Linked DNA regions of Schizosaccharomyces pombe. Changing the gene in region 3 together with the main gene of any one other region gives a genetic interaction. Each region holds a gene or a part of one and is shown on either strand. Other genes may lie near its edges.

Region 1 (4,284 bases), 580 kb from region 3:
GATAACTGCCAATGCACCTCCAGCTCCCGCATTCCAATTAACACTGAGGTAAAAGGGGTTCACACTCAATAGGTTAGAATCCCATGCATTATTGCTAAGCTATTGAAGACAATTAGTAAATTTCAAACCATTAAAGTATCGACCAACCTTTATGTTGTCGTAGCAAAGTTCTTTTTTGCAGGTTTGTCCAAAGATATGTCCTAACGTCAGTTAATAATTATTTACTCAAAAAGCATGCGTACTATATTTACTAGCTCTCACAAATCTTCCACTCATTTTTGAAAAAGAATAATTCCTTTATAAGATCGAATGAGAATTTGCTAATTGAGCTAACTTTATCCGGGGTGTCAGGTAATGAACAAAGTCGGGATCGGAATAGGAAGGAGGACGGATGAGAATGACAAGCACCTAAAGTTGTACTGGTCGTTGAAAATAACCAATATTATTGATAGTAGATATTAAAATATTTAAATTTTGGAAAAAGCAGTTCATTATGAGGAATTGTTTGAATTTTTATAAGGTGCCTTTATAGATTTTATTAAACTAGATATCACACTAAATTTGCAAAATATATACAAAATTTATATTATTAAAATGATCACTGTTTCAAATGTCTTTAATCATTTCAAGCGAAAGCTTTCAAAAGCAAATTATATAAAAAGTAATTGCGTCCAATAGTGTAATTTAGTCGATTCTCATAACTTTTTATGCTAATATGCCTTCAATATTCTCAAAGTATTTCAGATCTCTAAAAGTGTTTTCATTTAGGAAGAAGATTGAGCAAGTTTTTGGCGTTTTCGAGGCGAATCTTCCTTAAGCTTGGGTAGCTTTTTGACAATCTGTTTATACTCATCAAACTGATTTTCATAGGCGTTATGAATTTTTTCAATACGTTCGGACTTATCCAACTGTAGCAACACATCAAGATTTTGACGAAAAATCCTTTCCTTTATTCCTAGTCTAACAGATTTCCGCTCCAATAATGAAAGCTTTTTTAGTTTCGTTGTAAATGCTAATTCACAACAGCGTGAGAATTGACGCTAAAAAAAGACAATTAGTAAGTTGCATTGCATGGTAAATTTAGCAAATTACGAACCTGGGTTAACTTTGTTTCAGCTATTTTCGAGTTTATCCACTGCCTAGAAAGAGAGGGATGAAAGTCAGGTTCTGAAAATATTCCCATTGATAATAATCTTTTATAGTCGCAATGGTCTCTAAGGCTATCAAACGCTTCCGATGCATCCTCAACTGTGAAGTCTAAAATTTTAGGATTTTTCAAAAAGGTACTAACAATAGCATTGTACAATTGCGAACCGTGTCCTTGATGTTGAAAAGGGGGTAAAATCACGAATTGTGAGATACGAGCTCGAATACCATCGTGAATTAATTTGTCCCATTTATAATATTTGTATACAGTACAATAACCACGTAAGCAATAATCATCTTCAGTAGTCTCGTAACTTATTTTTGTTAATAAAACCTCGATAAAAAGGTAAAAGGAAAGTAGACGCGTAGAAAATAACAAACTTACAGTAAATATACCATCCATCTTGGATCATTAAGGTCAATAAAAGAGCCCCCTTCAATAAAAAATAAGGAAAATATTTGCAAATGCTGCATAATCTCACTAGCTTCAAGAACCGTTGCCTATTAATACATTACGATTATTAGCCAAAGAACATATAGGGATATTCAATAATTGAATACTTCTCCAATTGAAAGGTAATCGAACATACTTGTAAAATCTTGAATGTTTTTCCATTAAAGGAATAGTTATGAATACTATTTGCCGAATGAACGTCAAATGAGTTTCCTTCAACCTTAATGGAACGATCTTTTAGATAAGTGTTTAATGTTCCTTCAATATCAGTTGGTTCCACTCCTGAATCTGGTGCTAGGCGCTCTGAATATGAGATTTCCAGTTTTGGGACCATCAATGGGCATTCATAGGTTATCTAATAACTGTTACTATTTGCAATCAAATTTCATGACTAAAACTTGCTGATTTAATCTTACAGTGACATTTAGATCTTTATATCCATAAATAACCTCAGCATCTCCAAATATTGCATATGTATTGCTAGGATGGTATTGACAATCTTTTTCATGCTTTTCGTTTACTGACAGGTGTTAACACAAGGTAAAAACATTATAATTTAACATAGCATACCTTGTACAATTTCTATGCATTCATTGGCATTATGTACCCATTCATCAACAGCACTCATCACTGCATACGGAAAATTGAATACCTGACCCTATTTCAAGTCAAACAACAAAAAATACATGTGTCTAGTTGGAAGTAACAAACTACAAGGCGACGCAAAATTTCACGTGCTACACCTGTTATTATTAAAAAATATTTACTATTATATAGATTTCTAGCTCCAGTATTGCCAATTTTAGAACCTACAATTCTTTATAACTTTTCAGATTGCTCAGAACAATAACTACAAGTATAGATTTTCTGACACAACAATCCATTCTTCATCGATGACCCACGATGTTCAGGTATTAAATTTTTTTGATATCATTAAACTAAAATACGATTTGTATCGCAAACATGTAAAACAGTCATAACATCAGGATTTTTTAGTCATTAACCAAAAGAGGACATCATTGCTTGTTCAATAATATGCAGCTTTCTAAAGCGAAAATCCTTAAAGAGTCTTGAGATTGATTTCCTTAACCACCATAAATTCTTGAACGCCCAAACGACCGGCTTCCTTGCCAAAACCGCTCTGTTTGATGCCGCCAAAGGAAATAAATGGTTCGTCAACCATTTCGATATTGGCACCTACAAGACCCACCTCTAGTTCTTTGGCAACGTGGATCATTGTGGACAAGTTATTGGTAAAGACGTAACCGGCCAAGCCAACATCACTGTCGTTAGCCCATTCGATCACCTCTTCGGTGTCGTCGAACTTGAAGACAGAGGCGAGTGGGCCGAATGTTTCCTCGCTAGCAACCAACATGTCTTGAGTTACACCGGAGAGCACGGTTGGTTCAAAAAAATAACCTTTGCTTGAGGAAATCTCCTTTCCACCAACAGTGATTTTGGCACCCTTTGAAACAGCATCTTCAATGTGCTTGCTGACCTTTTTGCATCCATCTTGAGAAATCAAAGGGCCAACAGCAGAAGAAGAGTCAAATCCATCTCCTACTTTAATGGTCTTGACTTTTTCGGTAAGCTTGCTGACGAATTCGTCGTAAACATTCTTGTGAACGTAAACTCTGTTAGGGCAGACACAAACTTGACCACAAGAGTTAAACTTGATAGTGCAGAAAGATTCGACAGCCTGATCAATGGGGAAGTCAGGGAATACAATGAAAGGGGCATTACCTCCTAACTCCATTGAAACCTTCTTGATTGTGCTGGCACTTTGTCCCATAAGAATTTTACCGACATTAGTACTACCAGTGAAGGAAACCTTACGAACGATAGGGTTGGTAGTCAGTTCTTTACCATGAGCAGATGCATCAGAAGAAGTGATCACATTTAAGACACCGTCAGGGAAACCGGCCTCTTGCGCCAACCTGACTAAACCTAAGCAAACGTAGGGAGTGCGGAAAGCAGGCAAGAAAATAGCGGTACAACCAGCAGCCAAAGCGGCACCACCTTTACGAGCAATCATGGCGGCGGGGAAGTTCCAAGGAGTAATCAAGGCACTGACACCAACTGGCTGTTTGATGGAGATGAGAAAGTTTTGACTTTGTAAGCTGGAAGGAGCTACATCGCCAAAGGTACGAACGGCTTCAGCAGCATACCATTTAAGATATCCGCTACATGTGGTGACCTCCATCTCAGCTTGGCTCAAAGGCTTGCCGTTTTCTAAGGTAAGCATCTTGACCAAGTCGTCTTTGTTCTCCATAATAAGCTCTGCCCAGCGTTCCAATAACTGACTACGTTGGACATGAGTAAAATTTTTATAAGTTTTGAAGGCCTCGTTAGCGGCACTGATGGCTTTTTTTGTTTCCTCTACTGAGACATCGGCCACTTTACCGATTATTTCACCAGTAGCTGGGTTATCAACCTCAAAAGTTTTGTTGTTAGGAGAAGAAATCCATTTTCCTTGAACAAAAGATTGAGCATGAGACTTATCAAAGCCAAAGAGCTCAGGGCGTTTGAATTGAGGGGCCATTTTTGAAGAGTATTATACAAAAAAGTGGGAAGGAGTAAATGTTAAAAACTATATGAAACGAAGTTATCGATAGAAATGTTATTATTATTTATAATAATAACAAATAATAGCGTAAGCAGCAACAGATCTTTCGTGGAAAAAA
Region 2 (3,911 bases), 1.4 Mb from region 3:
CAGAAACTTATGCTGGGATCTAACAGGATTAACGACAATTGTTAGAATGTGAGACAGTGCTATTTAGTTCATTTTTAAAAGAATTGGCTATGACCGTCAAAGTTCTGAAAATAAAAATATATATATGTATTTTCTTCTTGTTTCTTTTTCTAAAAATTTTTTATTCTGATAGCTGAAGCTTTACTAACATAACTGCTAAATCCTACGTTTTTAATTTTGCAGTTTGTTTGGATTTTTAGGTGTGGTTATAAATTGCTTTTATGTACATTTTCACGTTGAACAACGTCAATCAAATATATTAAGTAATTCTCAAATTCTTATATAAGCATTTTGTACGAATATTTATACTAACGGATTGATGTTTGCTATAGTTCGTCGTTTCGCTATCTATTTACTACTAATTGAAAAGTATTTTTTAAAATTATCGCACGTAAGTGTAATGAGCGTCAATGGATTCACTATAATTCATAGCTATATGATTGCTGAAAGCCAATATAAAATTACACGACATATTCAAATTGACACACGAAACTTCTTGGGCTCATTAGTATCTAACAACGAATACGTTTTACCGTATGGAACAATTTTGTTTTTATTAACGTCACTAATCAAAATTGGTTGCAAACAATTAATATGCTAGCAACTAATGTGCTTTTTATGCATAGCACACAACGATAACGATTAACTCGCACCCTAGCATCAAACAGGTGGGATTAGATGATTTTTTAAGGAATGAAACTTTGTTTTAAAAAATTTGAATTATCATGCGATTCAATTGAAAATATATTTATAAATAGAATTAGTATGTTATGCAGACAATGATCTTAATCGAAAATATACAAAGAGAGTAAAAACTTTTAAAAAAGGAAAGAAAAAATAGCAGTTGAACTGCTGGAATATATGCTGTACCGCTGAAATCCTTTAAAGGATATATGTTTCATGAAATGAGCTTTATGTCGAAAACTCAATTTGACCCAGCTTGCTGAAAAAAAAAATAAGAATCAAGATTTGCAAACTTCAAGCCTTTTTAACACACTTGACATGGTAACTAATAGATATAACAATTTCGTAATCCCATGGAAAAAGATAAATATTGAAGCAAGAAATCAAAAAAAATGGTAAATTAAAATATTTGAATAAAAGGTTGCAAATGGTAAACATTATGCATCTGTACTTCAGTTTTCCTCTTTAATGATAGAGCTCTTCTCAAGAGCTGCCAAAATATCTTTACGACTTGTCAACGCTTCCTTTGCTTCTTGATAAGACATCCATTTTCGGCGACGCTTCCTCATCTCTGGGTAATTGTCTTCTAATCTTTCAACAATAACTTCAAAAAATTCACATTCGGCTCTAGGTGGAAGTAATAATTTCTCTGCTTCGGCTCCTAACTCGGTATTGGTTGAGACGTCATTTCCGCTACTTTTTGACATTAATTGCTTCAAATATTTTTTCCTTCTGTCAATAGTATCAGTAGGACGCTTATCCTTGAAAGACCCAAGGGATCTAGTGATATGACCCACTAGTCCGCCTTCTTCCCAACCTTCACGAAGGGCAGCTTGCTGAACAGATTCATCAGCCTCCCATCCACCCTTAGGAACTACCCAAGAAGGATGTTTTTTAGCAGAAGAAACTAATAGGACTTTCCTTTTGTCTGCAGATAAAGCAACAACACCCGCAGCAAGTCTGGCTCCTGTAATAGGATTGAATCGATTTTTCGTTCGACCTTCACGAGAAGTCATTGAGCGGTTCACTGCCGTCCGTAGATGATCCGGCTCCATTAAAATCACACTTCCGTTATTTTCAAGCATATGAACTATAAAGTACTCTTCTTTTCGACAAGTTGAATGGATTTGGTATAATTTCTTGCCTTATGGTAGAGTAAGGAAACGATGTCTGAAAAGGCAAAAGCAAGATGTTCAAAAGAATCTGAGTTCTTTTTGAACAAGGAAGAGATATAAATCTCCTATTCCGATGAATATAAATCGATCGCGAAAAGTGGTTTTCCGAAGGTTTCTCCCAGTGATTTAGGTTGGGATAACGAAATAGTGAAGTACAAACCGACACGCTAAACAGTTGTCGGAGACCAAATAATTTGCGGTGATATTTAAAATGAGAGATTGTATTAGAAAATAGGTAATTTATAATTTTTCAAAATAAATAGCTTGCGAGGAAAATACATTTTCATTTTGTATGCAGTAATCTCCAATTTGCGAAGTTGTTTGTATTCGTAGATTTCGCATCGAAAAATACCCACATTATCAATTCTTTGGACAAAATGAGGCTTTTTAAAAGGAGTACGCTTGTAGAAAATCTGTAAGTCTTAATCTTTTAATACACGGTTTTCGAAGTTTTGCATTGTATTTACTGTTCTGTTGTTCTATCTGATCATTGCTGATTCCTTCACTAACTCTTGATAAGTTGGGCTTTTTGAATCTGATAATATTGATAGTAAGAGAATCAATTAACACTAACCAATTGTTGATGCATTTTAATGTCGAGGAAAATAAAATAAAATAATTTAACAAAAAAAAGATTGGATAATTTAAATTCCCAATATCTGTTTTATTTAAAACAATTATTATAGCGAAAAAAAATGTTTATTATATAAAAAACAATAATTTATACAATTCAACTACTTCTATTACGTTTGGAATAAAAAGAAAATCGTTTAAAATAATAATATATCTAAATAAAATGAGTAATGTTGGAAGAAAATTGGCTTTTCGTTTGCTTTGTTATATACCTTAGCAAGCCATTGTATAAATTGTTATTTTTTAATTTTTTTTATATGAATAAATAATGAGATATGATTTACTTTTTAAGCTTTTGATAAAATTTGTTCATAACATAAACTTTGGTATGTGTATTCCTTCTTATAATTACAGTTGTATTTAGTTTTAACAATACGGAACAAATAATTATTTTTATGTATTTAGATTTGTCATACAATATAGCGAGTAAATGCCATTCTTCAATCATAAAAAAAGTACACTTTAGTTTGTTGCAATCTTCCACCACCTCATCACTTTTTTTTCTTTTGTAAACATTAATCTTCTTACTCTCTTTGTATTTAAATATTAAAAGAGTATAACAATTCCTTCTTTTATAATATTTTATTTTCATATCGTTGGCTTCTACAATCATTGGCAATTGAAACATTGTTGACAAGCATTCAGGGTTAAACAAACCATTGTTTCAATCATTACAACTGTAATTGTCTCCCCAAAATTGATTCTCACTATCATAAACTTGGATGCTGCTTTACAGAAAAAATCTAAGCGTATATTTGATAGAGCGATTTGAGGCTCGTTTCTACGGCTCTTGAAGATGAGAAGGTGGTTCAAAAAAACGCTACCACGCCCTCCTGATGAGGAGGAATCAGCTGGATTAACAAATAAAGATATTGTTGAAACCAATCACTTATATCCTACAATCACCAATTTGTCATTAAACAGTGATACTTCGTCCATTTTATTTGATAAAAATAAAAAACCTCTAAAACCGAAAATCATTATTCCTGATAAAGAATTTGATCTCGATTATTATTTAAAAGATGAAACGGAAAGTATTCAATCTCCATTTGAAGGTTTTACTGCTCAACCAAATTTTTCAAACTTCAATAAGCAAGGAAATACTATGAACCGAGAGGCAAATTTCCAAAGAACAAATGAAAAAATTCAAAGAAATAAAAGTATTAAACGAGTTAAATTATTTCATGGCAATCTCATCCTCGATTGTCCAATTCCTAAGAAGTTATTGGTTACACTTCCACAGCAAACAGAGCGAGAATTTGCTTACATGCGCTACAGTGCTGCTACATGTGATCCACAAGACTTTTCGAAAAGCCTATTCACTTTAAGGCAGCCCCTATTCTTTCAGCCGAGAAAAACTGAAATTTGTATTGCTATAAC
Region 3 (4,636 bases):
ACTGACATTTAAATGTAGGTGCTATAGAGTCTGAACATAAAAAGCGATCCGTCAAACTTGAGTTTACTGTAGGCGCTGACGCCGATGATTATTCTTCATTGCAAAAAGCAAACAACTTGGAACCTGTAGAAGCTGATATCCGTCGTGCAAGAGACTTCATTGAAGAAATCAAAGGAAAAATTTACTATTTGCAAGCTCGCGAAGCTAGATTCAGAAACACTAATGAAAGTACTAATGAGCGTGTCAAGAATTTTGCATATCTTACTTTTATCTCATTATTTGTTCTTGTTATATGGCAAATCCTCTATTTACGTTCATTTTTCCAAAGGAAGCATCTTATCCCTTAAATTTCACATGAACAATAAATATACGTATACGGCATACTTGGCACTTCCACAATTTCCAAAAATTAATTGGTTGCTTTTATATTCCGTACTAGGAATTACTGTGAGTATGGACAAACATTCACATTTAATGCATATACACTACTTCACTCTTTAACTTCATGAATAAAAATAAAAGATTGTAGTAAATTACATTAGCATAATTCTGTTGTAATATTACAACTGTTTATCTTCATTGTTTGTGAAATAACTAACAAATTCAAAAAACAAAAGGGAAATGTAACAACTGTGAATTCTAATTGAAACTAAATGAGAAAGTCGTAACAAAAATATCAAAATTCAACTTAGTTTCACAATATTAGTAAATGCAAACAATATTGAAAACAAAAGCTTTACAACAAAAAAAATCGTAAAAGAAAAAAAAAGGATAAAAAAGGGAATTAGGTTGAGTTACGCGACTGACCTTATGCAATTTTAAGGATCAATTGTTTGACAACTTCTAAAAATGGCATTGGACTGTAAGATGAAGTGTACTTTATAGAATCATCACTACTAGAAAAGCGGATATCAATCACGCTAGCAGATGGTCCAATAGAGAATAATTCAATAACCAGATAAACAGGAGAATTATGACATGTAATGCATGAAAACACTTTATACTTATTTTCCTTTAGAAAAGATTCCTCATCACAGGGCCGAAACCGAGCTCCTAACTCAAGTAAAGCCTCACATAGCTTTCTCAATACTTCAATTGGATTTTTGGCAGTTTGAATCCCATAATGCCAGCGTAAAGAACGAAGTCGGTTGGGGGCGGGAGGTCGGGATAATGGATGGTTGTAGACCTTATTCATGAATGAAGCATGTCTCTGTGGAAGAGAAGAGCGTAAAGTTTCAACGTTAGAAGGAATTGGTGGAATATCAGTAGGATCTAAAAATCCGGATGATTCTGCCATGTCAGAATGCCACGAAGTAGCCGAATACAAGTCCTCATACGACGAATAACATAAAGATGCGGGATCTGGATTAGGAGATTCAGTACCTGAAATGGACATTGGTTTTGACGGGGATAGGGCTGAGTGATCTGTGGGCTGAGGAATTTGACCTACACTACTGGAAGGCGAAGTTATGGAAGGGTCGAAAAGAATAGCAAGATCTGGAGGAGAAAAGGTGACAGATCGATGCTTGGAAGAAAAGGATGAAGTACGGGAAGGTAAACGGGAATGCGTGGGAAGATCAGCGATAAACCAAGGATGTTGCATTATTTCTGCAACTTTGATTCGTGAAGTAGGAAGCACCATTAACATTTGACGAATGAGATCTGAGGCTGAAGAAGATACAAAACTAGGAATGGTGTAGATTCCTTTACAAACGCGACTTAATACATTGGAGATGGTTACATCCTCAAAGGGAAACTCGCCGACGAGCATCAAATACAATAAGATTCCGCAACCCCATACATCTACATCACAACCATCATAATAACGGCCTTGAATAACCTCAGGAGCAGCATAATGGGGAGTACCGCAAGAGGTACTCAGAAAGGAACCATCAAGCATAAAATTGGAAAGGCCAAAATCCGTGAGCTTGACAACCAGATCTTTATTAAGTAAAATGTTTTCCAACTTCAAATCTCGGTGAGCAACACGATGAAGATGACAATAATCGATGGCATGGACAATTTGTCGAAAAATCTTGCGAGTGGTACATTCATCCAGTCGATTATGCTTAACCACCATACTGTGCAAATCAGTATCCATATACTCTAGTGCGAGCACTGTGTACTTGGGAACCCGAAACACCTGGTATAGGGTGATAATGTTTGGATGGTGCAATTGCCTTAAGATTGTCACTTCTCTTTGTAAACGCTTCCACGTATCTTTATCTTCCAATTCATCATTGTAAACCATTTTCAATGCGACCTTTTCATTTGTTTGAAAATGCTTGCCCACTACACTGTTAGCCATCGTACAATTGCCAAAAACAAAATCAAAGACGATCGATGCGCAAGATAACCATGACACCTAAGTAGTCTATCTCTACTGTCTATAAGTAGTCTACTCTATCTTATTAACAAGCCCCTACAAGACAAAGTCAACTAAATTTCACCTCATGTACTTACATTTCACTTTGGCCAAGTTTCCTTGTCCCAAAGTCCTTCCCAAAAGCCAAGGCCCAACATAGGTGTTTCCTGAATCCTTTTCAGACTCTGCCGATGCAGAAGAAGGGGTTTGCATAGCAAGTCGAGCCAGCTGACTTTATAGGATGAAATTCGTTATTCGTGTATATAGGTGGTTAGCATGTGCATGTTGCTGCATACCGTCCGACTTAAACATGATCCGCGCATCTGATGCTAATTTGTTAGCGATAAAAAAGGTGCACGAGGCAAAGTAGTGTGATTCAAAGCAACCTTGTAATAAGATTATATGGCGTAACGTGCTATCTTTTGGTAAACATCTCCACGGCGACATTGCAGACAACGCTAGCGTTCGATACGAGCAACCAATCTGCACTTTATTTAATTAAGGTACGCGGTCTATGGGTTATCAGATGCATAGGTATGTAAATTTTGTGTTATGAAATGGAAAATCGAGCTGGTATTGTGTTATGGGAAATTATGCCAATTTTCAAAGTTTATGAGTACATGGGAACTCTCTATTTACCCTCTTCCATCATTAGATCCGTCCCAACTTCTAGCCAAAATTTTTTGCACAATAAGCTACAACAATACAGCCGTGATAATGATAAAATTAGTAAAAGCAGTAATAGAAATACTCAAAGACAATTAAATAAAAAATTACAACAGCTAGATTTTTTGACTACAGAAAACATTTGATTTTCGGTTTAATCCCAAAAACCCGCATTATTTCGCACGATGCCATCAATGCTAGTAGACAAACATAAAACCGCATATTACAGACCGTGCGAATGTTTTTGTATAGCTATTTTTTAATGTAAAGTATATTTTGCCATATCTGAAATAGCCCGATCGAGGCATCCCAAGTACACACTACGGAAAGTGATAAGTGCAAAATTTTCTTTGTATCCGTTTACATACTGGCATACCTATTGCCGCTACCAGCCCTTTGTTTACTACTTAAGTATACATTACATTAGGTGGCCGCCAAAAAACCGAACGTTCCGCATCGGTAAAATACCTTGGAGTCATTCGCCCGAAAATCCCGAAACCGAAAATCCATCTCTTACCACATACGTTTAGGCAATTATTTTATTCCTCTCCAGTCATCAATTGAAAAAAATAGGCTTTCTAAGTTTTGCAATTATCACAGTAGAAGTCCATGAGTCAACATGGAAACTGTGGAGATACGAAGTAAGAGTCTGTTGATACAATGGCTCACGGTGGAATCGAATTCCTTACTGAGTTGGCAACTGCATGTGAAACGGAAAAGCATAAAGTTTGATATATATCATAAAAAGAATGACACATCTAGCTTGCTAGATGGATCCAACAAAAACACCGATCGTTCCATCCTGCATACAAAGCGTCAACACACTCACGAAGCTGGTATCAAGAAGTTGAGTGCTGCTGGGTTAGAATTATTTTATCAAGGAGAGCGATGTATGTCGGAAAAGCCTAGTGAGGGCTCTGTCTACATTGAGAATGGAGGACTTTATGCCTTCGTGTTTGATAACACTTTTTCGAAAACAAAACCAAAAACTGTGACCTTCCTCTTGACCGCGCAACCATACAACGGTCCGAGAATACCAAATGCATCAGTCCATGGCTCTCCTAAACAAATTATTTCTGGAACCTTGCTTAAAAAGCGCCGAAAGAAGGGCCAAGGCTATGCTCGACGTTACTTCACTCTCAACATGGTGGAAGGCACGATCTCATACTATGCTAACGAAAATTCTTCGGTAATGCGCGGTAAAATTCCCTTGAGCATTGCTGTGATTAGCGTTGCTGCAGAGACGCATGAGATCAACGTTGATTCAGGCGTAGAACTGTGGAACCTACGAGCACATACTCACCAAGATTGGCTACGTTGGTGCAATGCTTTGGAAAAGGCGAAAAATAGTCAAACTTCTTCAAAGCTCGTAGTAGACGAAAGGACACAAGAATCGTCATCCAATCAGTTAGTCTCTATTTACTCAAGACTACGTGAATGCCTGGATATTGCTCAATTGTATCGCACCAGTCGTATCAAATCGGCTTCAAGTCATAATTTTTCTGTCCCTGAGATCCGTATACAACTTCCCGGTGATGCCAAAGAAAACAAGGAAACCCGTACTTCAGTGGAAATTACTGCTGCTGAAAACGCGCAAGCTGCGGT
Region 4 (4,314 bases), 1.5 Mb from region 3:
CATAGCAGTACTAACTTAACCAAATAGACAATTGAGTAATTTGACACTTACATTCATTGACAATCTCACATATTCCTCAAGCAAATCCGTTTCAAAACATTAGAAGTTGATTCAACTTGGTAAATTAGTGTTTTGAATAATTACTTTTTCATATGTGTGCAAATCTGTTGGGTTACTAATAATAAATAGAATGTGAGATTTTACAATATCAGTATTTGTTATTTTTATAGTATTACTGAATAGTCAAGTTTACTATTCACATAACGAAATACTAAACCAAAAAAACAATAATATTACTAGGAAATAAAAAAAAAAGTATAAAAAAAAATTAGTATGCCTTAATTTTCATTCTCTAAATATGTTGTCTAATATAAAGTAAGTGATATATACCTTGGCGATTAATTTTTTGGATTTTTTTTTAATGCTCAAATACTTAAAACATATTTTTTTTAGTCAATAGTTTATATTTTAAAAATTAATTAATAAAACGTACTGCCTTATTTTAATTGCCTACAACAATACACAAGTCAAAAATTTTTATTATTTATGAGTAGCAAGTCCCCAAAATTCTATACATCCATAATTTTACCTCTATAATCTTATTTATTTTTCCGTAATAAAGAACTTAATTCGTAGCAAAAAAAATTATCAATATCACAGCTTTCCTTTTCAGTGATCAACCTTTTGCTTTTTCTTGGGTCGATTTTTTGTCAGGGCTTCTTTGACTTTCGCAGAGAGATTTTGAAGTATATCAATTTCCCCTTCAATTAATGTCTTTGCATTTTCCTCATCAAAATTCTTTGGATCTGAAATCTTCGGATACATATTTATCCGCTTTTCAATAATCTTGAGTAGTTTTCTATAATGCTTTGGTTTTATGTCTGATTTCGAAGGAACAGATATTAATTCCTTTTCTTTTTCCATCAACACAAAGGCCAAACAAATTTCTTTGAACGTCAAATCCGCTTTTGAAAATGTAAAATCACTAGAAAACGTTAGGTATAAAAAGCTCATCATTGAATTGATCATAACTTACCCCTCCAAATTGTAAAGTAACTCTTCACGACATAATAATTCAAGACGTGCTTCTACTTCTTCAAATCCAAGCTTTTCAATGTACTCAGGAAGCCAGTGCTCTTTTTTAATCAAAACAAAGTCATGTGGAGTACCTTTCTTCTTAGTAAATCCATATTTCCTAAATAACTCTGAATTATCTAATTCCCCATAAGTATTCCACAATTGCTCTCCTTTTTTGATATCCCGAGTAGCAATCATCGTAAGTGTTCCATTGATATCGTAGAGACGAATCTAAAGCATAGTTAGTATACATCTTTGGCTTCAATTAATAACTCATTGAGGTTCGAAAGTTCTTACGTTACAAAGTTCATCGTCACCATTAAACATATCAGATATAGGACACATTGCCTTTTCAAGTTCATCAGGGTCGACCTCAGATTCGAGATCAGAAAATTCGTCTTCTGAATTTACTTCACAGTTGTTACCCACAAGACTTTGTGAATGCAATTTTTCGTCATCTTGATTAGCCGAACCTTCATTCTTCTTAGCAGCATCTCCATTTTTGTCCTCCTTTATCGAAGTTTCAGCAGCAGACTTTTCATTTTCATTCGAAATTGGCGATTTCGTTTTTTCAATGTCGAAGCTATATGCAAGCATTACAGCACTCATTCGCAAGAAGTCCTCATAGCTCACTTGTGAAAACCGATTTGGGTATAACTTAATTATGGGTTCAATTCTGTCGATCCATAATTGTGTAATTTCATTACAATCCTCATTGGATTCTAATACGGTACCTCTCAGAAGGGCATCTTTTTTGTTTTCATCCCAGTAAAAGGGTGAAGTAATTCTTTCTTTGGTTGGGAAGATCGACAAGTAAGGTCTCCAAAACGAGTTAGGACTTGCATTTTCAGTTGCCATTACTAACAAAAGGGCAGCCCAACTGGGTAAACTTTGAACTTCGGGAAGTTGTGCCAAGTCCGAATTTGTCAAGCACAAAACACTATCCTTCTTGAAACTGACTAATTTTTCATCTTCCTTCAAGTATTGTTAGATTTCATATACTGTCAGTTTTGGATTGCTTACCTTAATGTCCTCTAAGGCGATGAATCCAATCCCCAGTGACTCATGTACGTGACGGTAATCGTTGAGTCCAATTTTTTCAGAAGTAGTATAATTATCCTTTTCGATTGCCCATTTTAACATAGATTCCGCTTGCTTCAACATCACTGCCCCTCTATGTTGGTCACTAACACTTTTGTACACAGAAGAAACAAATTCCTTAGGTCTGCCCCTAACCTCCTTTTTGAATAGCCTGAAATGACCGAGTTGTCGTTAATTCAGATAGTAGTATTCAATTGGGTTCTTAATCAATGTTAAAAGATTTATAAGTGTAACTGATGTATAAATTTCAATTTGTGAAATAGGCATACCAAGAATTGGAAAAAAAAGTAGCTTAGTATTACGAATTTGAATGGCTAAGATACATCAGTTAATGCTTGGCTTACGATCACTAAAAGAGCAAAAAAGTCTAAGAATTTGCTGTACGTGCATATTCCTTTCATAAAAAGTGGAAATTCAAGATGGTTTTAGTAGAATACTTTAGTAACGGGAATCACAAAAATTTTTTTAAAAAATATTTTATCCTAAGTAATAAATAAACAAAAGAATTTTGCTAAACATGTTCAGCAAAGTGTTAGAAATTTTTAAGATAGAGACATTAGGTGGACAATATAAGAAAAAAGTTCATGAAAAAGGACATTATAAATAAAGTTGTATGCAAACGCAAGCATTTCCACACTAGTTCAGTCAAGTTTCGGGATTTAGTAAACGAAACAGATAAAAAACGAACCTAAAGGTTACCAATTCCAATGGGAATAGCCAGTAATCTCTTATGCACTTATTTAAGGTGATTGTGCAGGTAACTCTAATTTGTCAATAAACCGTAGTGCATGCGTTCAAGTTACTTTCAAAAATGCTTTAGAGTTACTTGAAATTTTTGTAATAGTATCCTCAAAAGTCCAGGACTTAGCTTCTGACATAACGTTCAAAGATTGTCGAACTAATTCATCGATTTGGCTAGCACTGTGATGATCACTCTCTGCCAATAGCTTATCGTCGGGAACGCCTTTAAGTGTTTGAATAAAATTTTTATAACGACTATTTATACCTATTGAAAAAGAGTAGTAAAACTCGGTCGGAACTTTATGGGCTGAAAACTGAGAAATTTGCTCAATGCTACCAGAGTAGCTATGAAGGCAAATTTTGGGAGGGTAATGCTTTCGTTCTTCAGCAAGAGAATTTTCGTACTCTTCTTTCTTCATCTTTCGTATTTTCGTTTTGGAAGGAATCCAGCGACCATCCCAAAATTTAGCTAAACTGCTATACAAAAGAGCATACGTCTGAACGCAGTGAACACTAACAGCACGTTGGAATTCTGCAGCAAGACGCACTTGTGCTTCAAACACTTTACATTGATGTTCCATTTTTACGTAAAATGGTGATAGAGGTCCTTGAGGAAGTGAGGACCTTGCATCATATGGGCCAACTGGCAATCGAAATGGCTTATCCAAGCCGATTTCGCCAATGAGAGCGTTTGGGTACTGTTTAAGATGTCGACGAGCGTCCTCCAAAAATTCTGAAATCGGGACTGGGTTGGGAAGAGCATTGATAAAATCTTCATCAGGTATTGGAGTCAATATTTTTTCGTAATGCTTCTTTTTTCTCGTTTCACTACTTTGCAAATCTTTATCCAAATCATCGTACAAATAATAAGAAAACCATGGATGTATCCCAAAACTAGGTATTACTTTACCAGGGTATTCTTTCGCAAGTTGTTCGACATACTTTTGATCTGTCGGCCGGGTTCCCATTACTATTAATTTACCAACAGAAAGATTAGCAACCAAATGTAATTCTTGCGGTGCATCAGTTGGATGGCAATGAGCGTCAATGATAGATTCCATAATGATATTTGTAGTTAACAGAATGCTCTCTGCCCACCGTACTTTAAATAGTTGGGATAGGGAGAGTAACGTTGGAGTTGACGAAAACATGTGTATGCTAATGAAATTCAACAACTTCATTCGTTTCCCCATTGTTTGGTAATTACTTGATGACATAAAGATAAAACTTGAATATTACAGTCGTCTTCAATTTAATTAGTCTACTGCAAGCTCAAGGGCAGATACCTATTTCGTTGACTAGTTCCTCCATGTGACCACCTTACCAATAATATTTTCAAATTTATTTATTAGTGTTAGCGTCTAGGTAATTTGAGAACATACGATAAAATACATC

The links.
Region 1: mutations in ppk9 (region 3) and hat1 together harm fitness more than expected from each alone (negative genetic interaction), as found in Schizosaccharomyces pombe (one large-scale study listed by BioGRID).
Region 2: mutations in ppk9 (region 3) and aps1 together harm fitness more than expected from each alone (negative genetic interaction), as found in Schizosaccharomyces pombe (one large-scale study listed by BioGRID).
Region 4: mutations in ppk9 (region 3) and set13 together harm fitness less than expected from each alone (positive genetic interaction), as found in Schizosaccharomyces pombe (one large-scale study listed by BioGRID).

What each region holds. Positions count from the first base shown.
Region 1 is NC_003424.3:1,028,174-1,032,457, reverse strand, and holds hat1 (histone acetyltransferase Hat1), read right to left. Parts: upstream 2,239-4,284; 5' UTR 2,229-2,238; coding exon 2,171-2,228; exon of another isoform or gene 2,121-2,170; coding exon 2,017-2,120; exon of another isoform or gene 1,956-2,016; coding exon 1,737-1,955; intron 1,648-1,736; coding exon 1,532-1,647; intron 1,461-1,531; coding exon 1,097-1,460; intron 1,041-1,096; coding exon 765-1,040; 3' UTR 517-764; downstream 1-516. Other genes in the region: coronin Crn1, read right to left, coding at 1-99, 148-200, 243-276; ssd2 (succinate-semialdehyde dehydrogenase), read right to left, coding at 2,661-4,142. UniProt on the Schizosaccharomyces pombe protein: Catalytic component of the histone acetylase B (HAT-B) complex. Acetylates 'Lys-12' of histone H4 which is required for telomeric silencing. Has intrinsic substrate specificity that modifies lysine in recognition sequence GXGKXG.
Region 2 is NC_003424.3:198,132-202,042, reverse strand, and holds aps1 (diadenosine 5',5'''-p1,p6-hexaphosphate hydrolase Aps1), read right to left. Parts: upstream 2,006-3,911; 5' UTR 1,809-2,005; coding exon 1,176-1,808; 3' UTR 526-1,175; downstream 1-525. Other genes in the region: SPOM_SPAC13G6.13 (uncharacterized protein), read right to left, coding at 2,812-3,159; chs1 (chitin synthase I), read left to right, coding at 3,328-3,911.
Region 3 is NC_003424.3:1,604,512-1,609,147, forward strand, and holds ppk9 (serine/threonine protein kinase Ppk9), read right to left. Parts: upstream 2,639-4,636; 5' UTR 2,579-2,638; coding exon 2,464-2,578; intron 2,293-2,463; coding exon 809-2,292; 3' UTR 562-808; downstream 1-561. Other genes in the region: COPII-coated vesicle-associated protein Erv25, read left to right, coding at 19-347; sterol transfer protein Osh3, read left to right, coding at 3,651-4,636.
Region 4 is NC_003424.3:3,139,390-3,143,703, reverse strand, and holds set13 (ribosome L32 lysine methyltransferase Set13), read right to left. Parts: upstream 2,281-4,314; 5' UTR 2,242-2,280; coding exon 2,101-2,241; exon of another isoform or gene 2,053-2,100; coding exon 1,375-2,052; exon of another isoform or gene 1,309-1,374; coding exon 1,037-1,308; exon of another isoform or gene 986-1,036; coding exon 670-985; 3' UTR 521-669; downstream 1-520. Other genes in the region: scn3 (TatD DNase family Scn1), read right to left, coding at 2,973-3,980. UniProt on the Schizosaccharomyces pombe protein: S-adenosyl-L-methionine-dependent protein-lysine N-methyltransferase that monomethylates 60S ribosomal protein L42 (rpl42) at 'Lys-55'.